3 linked regions of the Mus musculus genome follow. The protein of the gene in region 1 interacts with the protein of each later gene in a pairwise test. Links are inferred from orthologs where the notes say so. Each region holds a gene or a part of one and is shown in the gene's direction. Other genes may lie near its edges.

Region 1 (3,646 bases):
CATCTCTCCAGCCCCTCCCCCCCCCCCCTTTTCCTTCTTTTTGAGATAGGGTTTTACCATACAGGGTTTCCCTAGGCTAGCCTTGAGTTCAGCTGTGTAATAACCCTGTAGCCCAGGCAGGCCCTGAACTTTCAGTCCAGTCCCACCTCTTCACCCCCAACCCTCAGCTTTCCAAGTAGCTAGAATTACAGCCTTGCACCACCATGTCCACCTTTCTTTGGACTACTTTGAGTGTGTTGACTTGGTGGTGATATATATATATATATATATGTGCATGCAATCAGTTGTTTATTCTCTTTTGAAACATTGTTGACTCACAAAACTCAAAATGAAAGAAGAGGGTATGTTTGTAGCTGTTGTGTTAAGATGTCCATCTGGGGCTAAGGAGATCAGAAGGAGGGTGCTCATCTCCTGTGTGAGGCCATGAGCACCTGCACCAGCACATATACATGCTACATGTACATGTGCCTGTACTCATGCTTGGTCTCACACACAAACACACAAAGCCCCTCTTAGTTTTCCAGTTTGTATAAGTAGAAAGTATGCTGGCTGCCAGAGAAGGCTGCTCCAGGCTGGCTGGAAGCGTTGCATCTTCCCACCTCCTGACAGGAAGGAAGCTCTGGCCTTTGACATGGCAGGCCTTAGGGTGAGGGGTGGAAGGATAGCTGTGGGCTCTTGGGAGACAGATCACAGAGGAGTACAGCTTGCTGCGTGAGCGTGTGGCAGTGGCTGTGCTCACTGTCCTCAGTTTCTTCTTTCCCCCTTTGTTCCTTCTTTGGTTTGTGTTTGTGTATATGTGCGCGTGTTTGTTTGAACCAGAATGGCCTTGAGCTTGCGATCCTCCTGCTTCCGCCTCTGCAGTGCTGGAATTGCAGGCCTGTGCAATCACACCGGGCGGGGGGCGGGGGGGGGGGGCGGTCAGACCCAGGCCCACCAGCATGCTTGCAGACACTCTGCCAGCAGAGCTACATTCCCGGTCCTACTCTTCTTTCCTTCTCAGTCTGAAAATGCAGCTGGAGTGAGGAAGAGCGGACCACTGCCTAGCGCCGAGGTACAGTGTCACGGCTGCTGTGTCACCTATGGGAGGGGTGGAGATCACAGCCCCTGACAGGTCAGTGCTGTCCCACTGGCCAAGAGCTCCTGGCTTGCTTATTAGTTTTACATGTGGTCTGCTGGTTTCTCTTTGATGCAGAGATTGGAGAATGATCTCTTTGGACCCCATGACTGTTCCCACGCCCCTCCAGATAACTACCAGAACACCTCAACTGATGGTAAGATGGAAACCCTCTGGACTCCCAGACAGATGGAGCCAGTTTGCTGGACGAAGCCCACAGGTCTTATTTACCTCTGTGTCTCTAGGGACCCTGCCACTTCAGAAGCAGCCAAGCCTATTCACTGAGGGCAAAGAAGAGACCTCTGTGGATGCCGGATGCCTCCTTGCCACAGCCGTCATCACTCTGTTCAGTGTGAGTAACAAGGAAGTCCCCACGGTGGTTCAGGCTTCCTCATGCCATGTGGTCTTATCACACGGGCTGTCTGCCTGGAGTTTGCATGCACGTTTGAGAACAGTGCCAAAGGTAAAGCTAGAGAGGTGTGGAGCTTTCTACAGGGCAGGGGGGTCTCATGAGCACTGTTGGTGAAGAAACCTTAGAGTATGGGCAGAAGCGGTGGCTCAGAGGCTGAGAACACTGGCTGTTCTTACAGGGGATCTGGATTCAATTCCAGGTACCCACGTGATGGCTTACAGCTGTCTATAGTTCCAGTTCACATGTATATACCCAGACAAAGTACTCATACACATAACATATCTATCTCTTTCTAAGAAAAGAAAAGCTGGACGGTGATGGCGCACGCCTTTAGTCCTAGCACTTGGGAGGAAGAGGCAGGTGGGTCTCTGAGTTCAAGGACAGCCTGGTCTACAGACTGAGTTTTAGGACAGCCAGGGCTACACAGAGAAACCCTGAAGAGAGAGACAAACAGACTGACTGACCAACTGACCTTAGAGGGAAAAGTGCCTGAGGAGAAAGACACTGGGTTGACATGACAGACAAGAGTAGATCCAGCCATGGCAGAGGACCAGATCAGCTGCTTGGCCAGCAAGGCTCTGCAGAGCATTCCTCTGAGTTTGTGGACAACTTCCTGAACTCCTGTCATCATCTGGACACGCTTTTAGGAAAACACGTTGCACACTATAACTCACTAGAAGAAATGTCATCAGCCAGGGTAGGCTCTAGGGAGTAGCAGGTCCCTGCTCCCTGACCCTGGGAGAGGGTATCCATTCTGGAGACCCTGGGTGCCTTGCTCGGACTGAGTTGTGTTCCTAGGACCTGGCTGTGATGTAGCTTGCTTGCTTCTGCCTGTATTGGCACCTCTAGGTTCCCTGCAAAGGGAAGGCCTAAAGGCCTGGAGATATGGCTCTGTGGATAAAGTACTTGCCATGCAAATGTGAGGGCTACAGCTTGGATTCCAGAAAACACTAAAAAGCCTGACATTATAACACATCTCTGTGATCCCATTGTACCTATGGTAAGATGGGAGAGGTCTCCTGGTCCAACTAGCCTGGCTTACATGGTGATGAGCATACATCAAAGGTTGTCCTTTGACCTCTATGTACACACACATGCACACATACACATTTTTAAAAGTCCTGATTGAGGCAAGCATGGTAGTGCATGCCCACCACTCGAGAGGTGGGGACAGGCAGGTCTCTTGAGTTTGAGGCCAGTGAGTTACACTCTACACAGTAACAGAACAAACAGGGTTACACAGACAAAGCCTGTCACAGTAAAAGTATATTCGACAGGGTTTAGGGTGGTGGTTGGTCTTGGCTGGCAGAGCTGTCATGGGCACGCAGCAGCTTGGTCTGCTCCGTAGAACTTCCTTTTTCTTCTTAGTCAGGACCTCATCCTGCTGCCCAGTCTAACCTCAGACTTCTGTCTCTCAGGTGCTGCTCTTGCAGGACTTTGTTAATTCCCAGGACCCTGGTGGCAGCTCACAGTGATGTATGGCTCCAGTTCCAGGGGGTCTAGCACCTCTTGACCTCCATAGGCAGGCACCGGCTACACATGTGCGCATACATACAAACAAACAAACAGAACACTCATGCACATAAAATTTCTTTTAAAAATCAACCAGCAGTGGTGATGCCCGCCTTTAATCCCAGCACTTGGGAAGCAGAGACAAGTGGATCTCTTAAGTTTGAGGCCAGCCTGGTCTACAGAGTGAATTCTAGGACAGCTAAAGCTACACAGAGATACACTACTCTGGAAAAAAACCAAAACAAACAAATGGTTTGGATTTCTCCTGCCTTGTCTTTCCAGTGCATGGATTATAAATAAGGGTGTGCCCCATTCCACGCTAGTCTTCCTGAACTTGAGGCTGCACTGACGTCTGACTTCTAAGTTTAGTCTGAAGAAGGCTGTACTGTCTCTGCTGTGTTAGAAGCAAACATAACTTCAAGGGACAGGTCGATGTTATGAATCCAGTTGGAAGCAATGTTTGATGGCATGTTTTTACTGGTTCCTTGTCAAGATCTATAATATTACAGTTCACATTTATCAGTTATGGCCTCAGGGTGTCTGGCCAGGCTGAGCTGTTTAAATCCCTGTGCTTTTCCTCGAGCAGAAAGTAGTGGCCATACCACAGG
Region 2 (3,746 bases), on another chromosome or scaffold:
GTGCTCACCCATGTCTCACTGACAGTTATGAGTAAATGTGTTTCTGTAACCACTTAACACATTATGTCTTTATTTACTCCACTGAGAAAACCTGCAGGGCGTTTAATATCCGGAATGCTTTATGAATCTCGACTTTACCACTTCTCCAGCGGGTTGCTTATTACATGCCAGTGATGTGTCCTTCCGTATACTTACGAGGTACGGCACCACAACTTGTGGAAGTCCATTCTGCCCTTCCATCACGGGGGTCCCGGGGATCAAACTCATGTCCTCCTCGGGCTTGGCAGCAAGTGTTTTCACCCATTAAACCACCCCTGGCCCCTTCACAAGTTGTCGCCTTGCGTACAGCTCTTGCTAGTTCCTGCCATTCTTCCCATTCCAGAAGGAAATCCTTCAGGCTCCAAGATGCACAGCGAACAGGTGTATGCATATTCATCAGTCTTCCACGGTTTGTGTGCAGCCCTACAGCTATCACGCAGCCTGGGTTTGTGACCACCTCCTTCACTCTGGGACAGAGCATAGCGACACCAGCGGCTCAGGGCTACTGAGAGTTCTAGAAAACACGCTTCATAGAAAGCCACCATTCGTATTTTTAAAACTTTTAAACTCTGGCAGCAACCTCAGCGGCCTCAGCTAGGACCTCAGCAAGGAACTTCCAGACCGGGTCGTTAGGGAGTCCTCGGGTGTCGTGGAGGCCCCGCCTACAGCTCCAGCGTCCTCCCCTTAATCCGCCTTTCCTGAGTTTAGCCCTGGGACCCTGAATCGCAGTCGCCCCGCGGTGGCCCGAGCTCTTACCACAGCTCTTTGCGGAGAGACGCGCTCCGGGAGCTGGAGAAGCCAGAAGCAGCTCCGAGCACTAGGGCGGGGCAGCGCGATGGGTGTGCCTAATCGGGGGCGTGGCAACGGCGCGGGGGCGGAGCTAAAGCTCTGCCACGCCTGTAAGCGACGTGGCCCGGGCGGGTCTAGAGCGTCGTCTTATCTAGCTCCGCTCTTGACCGTGCGCAAGCGCAGTGCGGCGGGAAAGCCTCTGCAAGTGCGTCCAACATGGCGTCGGAGCGCAAGACTAAGTTATCCAAGAACCTGCTGCGCATGAAGGTGCTGAGGTCGGGAATGCTGGGTTGTCGGGCGGGGAGGCTGCTGAGCTCCGAGATGTTCCGTAGTGGGACTCGGGCCGAAGCGATGGGCAGACTGGCTCGGGATGGCCGCGGCCAGCGCACCCCATTCATTCGCTCAGCCTGCGGGCCTTTGGGCACCAGGGGTGAGATTTTGCTTAGCCTGATGTGGGGAGGGAGCCTGCACAACGTTCATCAGAGCCTGCAGAGTTGAGTGCTGTGGTGGCTTTAGTGTCTGGGCCGCCTGGGAAGTTAGACTTCTCGCGAGAAGTGGTCCCTAAGGAGGAACAACGTGAGGGATGGCAGGTAGTGTCCTAAACTGAGGGAAAGTGAGTCCAGAAGCTAAGAAGGAGAAAATCAGGGACGTTGCAAAGAACTAAAGGTAGCTCGGACGTCTGAAAGACAAGGAGCATAAAATGAGGCTGGAAATCTTAGTGGTCACACATCCAAGGAATTGTAAGCCAGGCTGAAGTTTTGTTCCTGTTGCCTCATGAGCAGGAGGAAACTGTTTTCTGAGTTAATTGCTTTTTGTTTGTTTGTTTGTTTGTTGGGGGGGGGGGGGGTCGAGACAGGGTTTCTCTGTGTAGCCCTGGCTGTCCTGGAACTCACTCTGTAGACCAGGCTGGCCTCGAACTCAGAAATTTGCCTGCCTCTGCCTCTCCCAAGTGCTGGGATTAAAGGCGTGCGCCACCACGCCTGGCTAGTTATTGTTTTTTTAAGGCCACTTTAACTGAACTGTGGATGATGGTTAATCAGAAAGGCCCAGCCCAACAACGTGAAAGCTCACAGCCAAAAGGATGAGCTAAAAAAGTTCCTGTGTTCTGGGTGAAGGTTGTCTTCGTGGTGGGAATGGAGAAAATGTTAGTGGGGTGAAATGAGTTCTCCACTAACTTTTAAACAAAATGAGTTTCCCTTTGTGTGTGTGCATGCATAGCTGTATATATACCATGTGTGTTCAGGTGCCTGCGAAGGCCAGAAGAGAGTGTTGGAGCCCCTGAAACTGGAGTTTTAAGTCAGCAGGTATGAGTACCAGGACTTAGGCAAGAGTCAAGGGTGCTCTTAGCCACTGAGCCAACTTCCCCAGCCCATGATTTTTAAATTTGAAGTTGAGCCAGCTGAAGTGGCTTTGATGGCACACATTTGTAATCCCAGCACTTGGGAGGTGGAGGCAGGAGCTTAATTTGTGGCCAGCCTGAGCTGGATATGAGACCCTGTCTCAGACATCATTAAAACAGAAGCAGCTTAACCACAATTTAAAAGGGGTTAAAAGCGGATGAACACAGGAGTTAAGACAGGGAAAAGCTAACTCTTGAAGCTTAAATAATACTAATAGAACGTATTCACGGTCCTCCCAATATTCCGGCATTGTTCTCCGTGTATATACTGAACCACTTAATTCACATAGTAACATTTGAAGGAGTTACAGTTGTCATCTCTGACACCTGAGGTATCTGAGACAGAAGTAACAGCTGAAAAGACTGGTCATCTGGCCCCAGAGCTTCTGCTTGTAATGATTAGCCTGTAGCACCTGTCTCTAACACACGGGGAGCTTGATTACAACGCCTGACTCAACAGTATTATAAACATGTGTTTAACAGAGCTGTCCTACCTACCAAGCGGTATAGTTTAGCTACACAGTACACTATAGAGTTTCAGTAGCTTACCCCAGGATGGTGTAGCTGTCTGGGAGCTGTGGCCCACTGTGCCCCAGCAGCCTAATAGAGTCTCCTCTTACATATGGCTAGCCCAGGAAACAGCATTCCTAGTAGTGTTTCTAATGGGTGGTAGCAGATCCCCACCATCTTAAAGGTGATTTGATTCATTAAGCCTCACCATGTGAAGTTGTGGTCTGTCAGTGCTTATGGTGAAATGAAAACTCTCTTAGAGAACGTGTTTCCAAGAAAAGGAAGGAAGGCATAAACGGGTGCTGTGTCGAGGGCCGGGGAGTGAGCATTCCCCCATGAGCTTTGAGTGCAAGCTGAGCTGGGATGCTATCTGGCCTAGGTATTTGTAAATATATTTGAGTCTCAGAGTTGTTATTTATGGGAGCTTGGGGCCCAGAGGAAAAACCCAAGTTTATAGAAAACATCATACAGCAATGCTTCATTAATCCCAGCACTGAAGAGGCCTGTGAGGCAGGTGGATCTCTTGCGTTCAAGGCCAACCTGGTCTACATCCTGAGTTCCAGGACAGACAGGGCTACACAGTGAAATCCTATCTGGGAAACCTTAAGAAATAAACAAGCAAACAAACAAAAAACCCTAGACAGTTACTGATGGAGCTGGAGAGCTATAGTTTCCCAGAGTCTGCTCTGAACCCTCAGTTTTGAGGGAGGTGAAATTGCTAGTTTTAGAGTGTGTTCTGAGGTCTTCCGAACCCTAGACATGCTTGGTTCACAGCCATGTTCTTATCCTCTGTCCAGTGTAGATGTGGGTGACTGACTGACTGTGTGCCTTCATGTATCCGCTAAGGCGAAATTGAAGATAGGAGGCAGTTAGTCAGGTTTTGCCACCAAGAATGTAAGGGGCCGTGTGAGGCACCTGTACTTTGAACCACAGGGTCACTAATCCAAGGGTCACTGGTACTCAGGGAGTCGTTTGTCTGCCGGGTGCCCTGGTACCTATGGCTGGCCAC
Region 3 (3,746 bases), on another chromosome or scaffold:
CCAAGCCTTTAAAGAAGGCATTTTAGTGAGAGAGGGCGCCTGGCTTCACCGGACACACAGCGACAGTCATCTGGCTACACCACTCCAAGACTGTGCATGTGCACATGTACATTGGCTAGGTGGCAGAGGCCTTTCTGGCCACCTGTCTCAATACAGGCAAGCTTTTCAGAATCTGCTTTCTGAATGAGTTACAGGCTCCTTTTCAAACTATGTGGCAGAGTTTAGTTGGCAAATATGTCCTCTTCTACATAATCAGAAGGGGTCTGCCACGTTTCTACAGGAATGGCAAAGAAAACGCTAAGGTGCCTGATTCTCAAGCAAAAAAACCCAAAACAAAACAAAAAGACCCCTGGCCAAAATGAATAGAACGCCGTCTGGGCCTATCTTTTGCTGACCCATCGTCCCTAGCCTTATGGATCGGCCGCTCTTTCCAGCTGCAGTGCATATGGGAGCCCCAGGAAGAAGACTGGGGAGTGGCGTGGAGGGGTGACAGGCGGGGGTTCAGAAGCAGGAGCCCCGAAAAGCTGGGCGGAGGCTCTGGGCACTCAAATAGGGTTCCAAAGGGGAACAAAGGTTCAAAGGATTTCAGGGAATCTGAGGCCAAGGGAGCCAAGCACGCGAGGGAAGCGCGGAAGGGACACCCGGAGCACCGGACTCCACCACGGTCTCACCAGAATGAGCGCGGCAGCCGCCAGCGCCACGCCGAGCCCCAGCAGCTGCAGTAGCAGCGTAGCCATCCCGCAGCTCCACACTTGCGGAAGCGCGGTGCGGCGCCGCGCCCCGCCCCAGCCGGCCCCGCAGGAGAGGCCGGCCTAGCCCTCGCCCGCCGCCCGCAGCGCCCCCGCCTGGCCGTGCCCCGCCACGGCAGGAAAGCCGAGGCCTCCCCGCAGCGCCCCCGCGCGGCTCCGCCGAGGACTGCAGGCCGGTCACCGAGTGCGGCAAGTCAAAGCCCTGGACCTGTGCACTGGCTTCACCCCTCGCGCCGTGCAGAGCAGCCATCTAAGGATGCCCGGCGCCGTGGAGGGTTTTAGGGTCACCCCCTTTTCATCTCGTGCGCCTGCGTGTGTGTGGGAGTGTGTTCGTGCACAAGCGCGCGGGCCCGTGGGACCCCGCGAGATTGGCGACTAGCGGGACGCTCGGGGTGGCCGGAGCTGGCGTTAATGCCTCGGGCGCAGGAACACGGTAGCTGCACTTCCCTAACCCAGGATCCCTCCGAGTGCCCTGGGCTGGAGGCACGCCTGGCGACCGGAGGGCGCAGGCGCGGAGGGCTGCGCAGGCGCAGAGCGGGCCGGAAAAATGGCGGCTGGGTTCAAGTGAGTGGCGGCGCGCGCAAAGAGGGCCCGGGTGCGGGTGTGGCGCGCGGCGGCGGGTGGGGGCCCCCCCGAGGACTCGCGGGGCCGCGGGAGGGCTCTGCCCACTCGAGGCGCTGAGGGACACTGCATCCAGGACGGCCCGGACCTCTTAGCCGAGGGCCACGCCGCTCTCCACGCAGGGCCGCCCTCGGAAGGGACTGGGAAAGCGTTGGGCGCGCTCTGGTTAAACCCGGAGCCGCCCACGCGTGCAGCCTGCAAACTCGCGTCTGCGGTGCGTGCACCGTACCTACCTGCAGTCACTTGTGGCCGCGGGTCGGCGAGGAGGCCAAACGTATGTACAATACACTCTTCCGTGGTAAAGTTGTGGATGCTGGCGAGTGTGGTTTATAACGGCGCGAAGTCACGCTAAGGTCCCTGCTTCAGAGCACGAGTGATGTGACTGACACCCAGGTTGACCCTCTTCTGGGTGTGCCAAGGGCCTCTGTTCCTCCTGACTATGGCACAGTTAAGGTCACCGCTGGAAACCGGTTGCTGCTGTGTGGCTTTTATAAATACGGGCCACACAGTTTCAAACGCCTGAGCCTGTCGAGATCACGCCTCAGACACCACACTCTCAAGTTCTGGGTTTCTGCTTTAGGACGCACTGACTGAGACACGTTTTAAACATTGTTTCAGAACTGTGGAGCCGCTGGAGTATTACAGGAGATTTCTGGTGAGTGAAGGTGGTTTTGTACGTTAGAGCTGTGGGTAAAAACACCAAGCTTCGGTTCATTTAAATGAATGAGGCTTAATGCTGCGTACCCGAAATACATCTATGACCCGTTTCCTTATAAACATTTAGAAGGAAAACTGCCGTCCTGATGGAAGAGAACTTGGTGAATTCAGAGCCACAACTGTCAACATAGGTGAAGATAAACTTCCTTTTAGTTGGGTGGGACATCCTTGGTGTCACGTAGTTTTTCAGCCAGCTCTACTATGTCTAACGCAATCGGGTGATGTTAAGAGATTTTTATCATCACACCAACCTTGTAGTTGATCTAAACTTTAGTTCAAATTGGGAGACCGAAGAAAAAGATGAAAAAACGTTAAGTAGTAATATCATTTTCAAGTCACTGACCTGAACCGGTCAAAAGTTTCAGGGGGTGGGTGGGTGGGGGTGGGGGGAGTTTCAGAGGCAAACAAAAAGATTTAAACTACTTTGTAGGAAACTTTGTGGTTATTTTCTTTTTTTTTTTCTTTTTAAAATTTTTTATGAATACCAAGTTTACCTTTCCAGGTTCAATCAGTACAGCGGATGGCTCTGCTCTCGTGAAGCTGGGGAATACCACGGTCATTTGTGGCGTTAAAGCAGTAGGTTTCCTGTATGCCTGTAATGTCTGAATTCCAAGTTAACTGCATGCTTATGAGGTTGTACTTGATCAGGGGCTGGTATTTGGAATGATATTCCCCAAGGTTGGTTTTTGTTTTTTTGTTTTTTACATGTGAGCATCATTAACGCTTTACAAGGTGAGTCCTCAGCACGTCACACGTTAGGGTTTCAGCAATATCGGTTTTGAAATCGACTGTTACAGTGACACCTTTAGCCATCGATAGCTTTTGTTCGTCGTAGGAATAGTAACTGTCTGCTGAGCTTTTTAGATGCTCTACTGTTACCAATCTCTGTAAGTAGAAGGTAGGCAGAGTCTACTGACAGAACCTGTGCTTTCTCACGTTTCACTGAGCAGCTTTCCTCGTTTAGGTCTGTGGTCAAGCTGAAGTAATAACTGTCAGACCACATACTGCTTGCCAGGATTATACCTGGGACTTAGTGGCACTGTCTCACTTGGGCCCTCAGGAGTAGGCAGGTACTGTTTATCTGTCCCTGTGTCAGCAGAGGAACTTGAGAGATAAGTAACTTTCCCCAGCTCTTGCAGTCTCTTGTGTGGATCTATAGCTGCACTGGGCTCTTATTGCTATATACCTCGCTTCTAGCCACTACTGGCTCCCCAGCCTGGTCATGTCAGTGTCGCTTGGGGATTAAATTCAGATTTGGCTGCTGAACAAGTCATAGGGTGGGCATAATCCCACTGGTCCTCATGGATGAGCAGCACAGTTTGATTACACTGCCCTTTAACCTCCCTGGGAGTCACTAGGAAGGCAGTGCCAGCATCCTTAACATGGGTTAATTGGCTGAAATGGTCTCTGGCACGGCCTCTGTGGATGACTAGAATGTCATCGTGTTGCGTGGCTTTTCTCACTGGAATACATTGTTTGCTTTTGTAGGAATTTGCAGCACCACCAGTAGATGCCCCCGATAGAGGATATGTCGGTGAGTTAAATGCTCATAATTTTAATGAATTATAAGTAAGTTGAGAGATACCTCTGGCAGTGAGGTAATTGAGGTGGATAGCAATTCCCAATGTTCAAAAATAGAATAACGACTCCCCAGCTCCA

What was found.
Region 2: the proteins of Exosc10 (region 1) and Mphosph6 interact in binary tests that used the Homo sapiens proteins (3 or more experiments, as listed by UniProt). The link is inferred for Mus musculus from reciprocal best matches to the Homo sapiens genes EXOSC10 and MPHOSPH6.
Region 3: the proteins of Exosc10 (region 1) and Exosc8 interact in binary tests that used the Homo sapiens proteins (3 or more experiments, as listed by UniProt). The link is inferred for Mus musculus from reciprocal best matches to the Homo sapiens genes EXOSC10 and EXOSC8.

The regions. Positions count from the first base shown.
Region 1 is NC_000070.6:148,571,919-148,575,564, forward strand, and holds part of Exosc10 (exosome component 10), read left to right. Parts: intron 1-1,000; coding exon 1,001-1,051; exon of another isoform or gene 1,052-1,111; intron 1,112-1,192; coding exon 1,193-1,271; intron 1,272-1,359; coding exon 1,360-1,466; intron 1,467-3,646. UniProt on the Homo sapiens protein: Catalytic component of the RNA exosome complex which has 3'->5' exoribonuclease activity and participates in a multitude of cellular RNA processing and degradation events.
Region 2 is NC_000074.6:117,799,201-117,802,946, reverse strand, and holds the start of Mphosph6 (M-phase phosphoprotein 6), read left to right. Parts: upstream 1-972; 5' UTR 973-1,044; coding exon 1,045-1,095; exon of another isoform or gene 1,096-1,103; intron 1,104-3,746. UniProt on the Homo sapiens protein: RNA-binding protein that associates with the RNA exosome complex. Involved in the 3'-processing of the 7S pre-RNA to the mature 5.8S rRNA and play a role in recruiting the RNA exosome complex to pre-rRNA; this function may include C1D.
Region 3 is NC_000069.6:54,732,575-54,736,320, reverse strand, and holds the start of Exosc8 (exosome complex component RRP43), read left to right. Parts: upstream 1-956; 5' UTR 957-1,296; coding exon 1,297-1,313; intron 1,314-1,988; coding exon 1,989-2,025; intron 2,026-2,154; coding exon 2,155-2,218; intron 2,219-2,589; coding exon 2,590-2,663; intron 2,664-3,575; coding exon 3,576-3,621; intron 3,622-3,746. Other genes in the region: Alg5 (dolichyl-phosphate beta-glucosyltransferase), read right to left, coding at 672-737. UniProt on the Homo sapiens protein: Non-catalytic component of the RNA exosome complex which has 3'->5' exoribonuclease activity and participates in a multitude of cellular RNA processing and degradation events.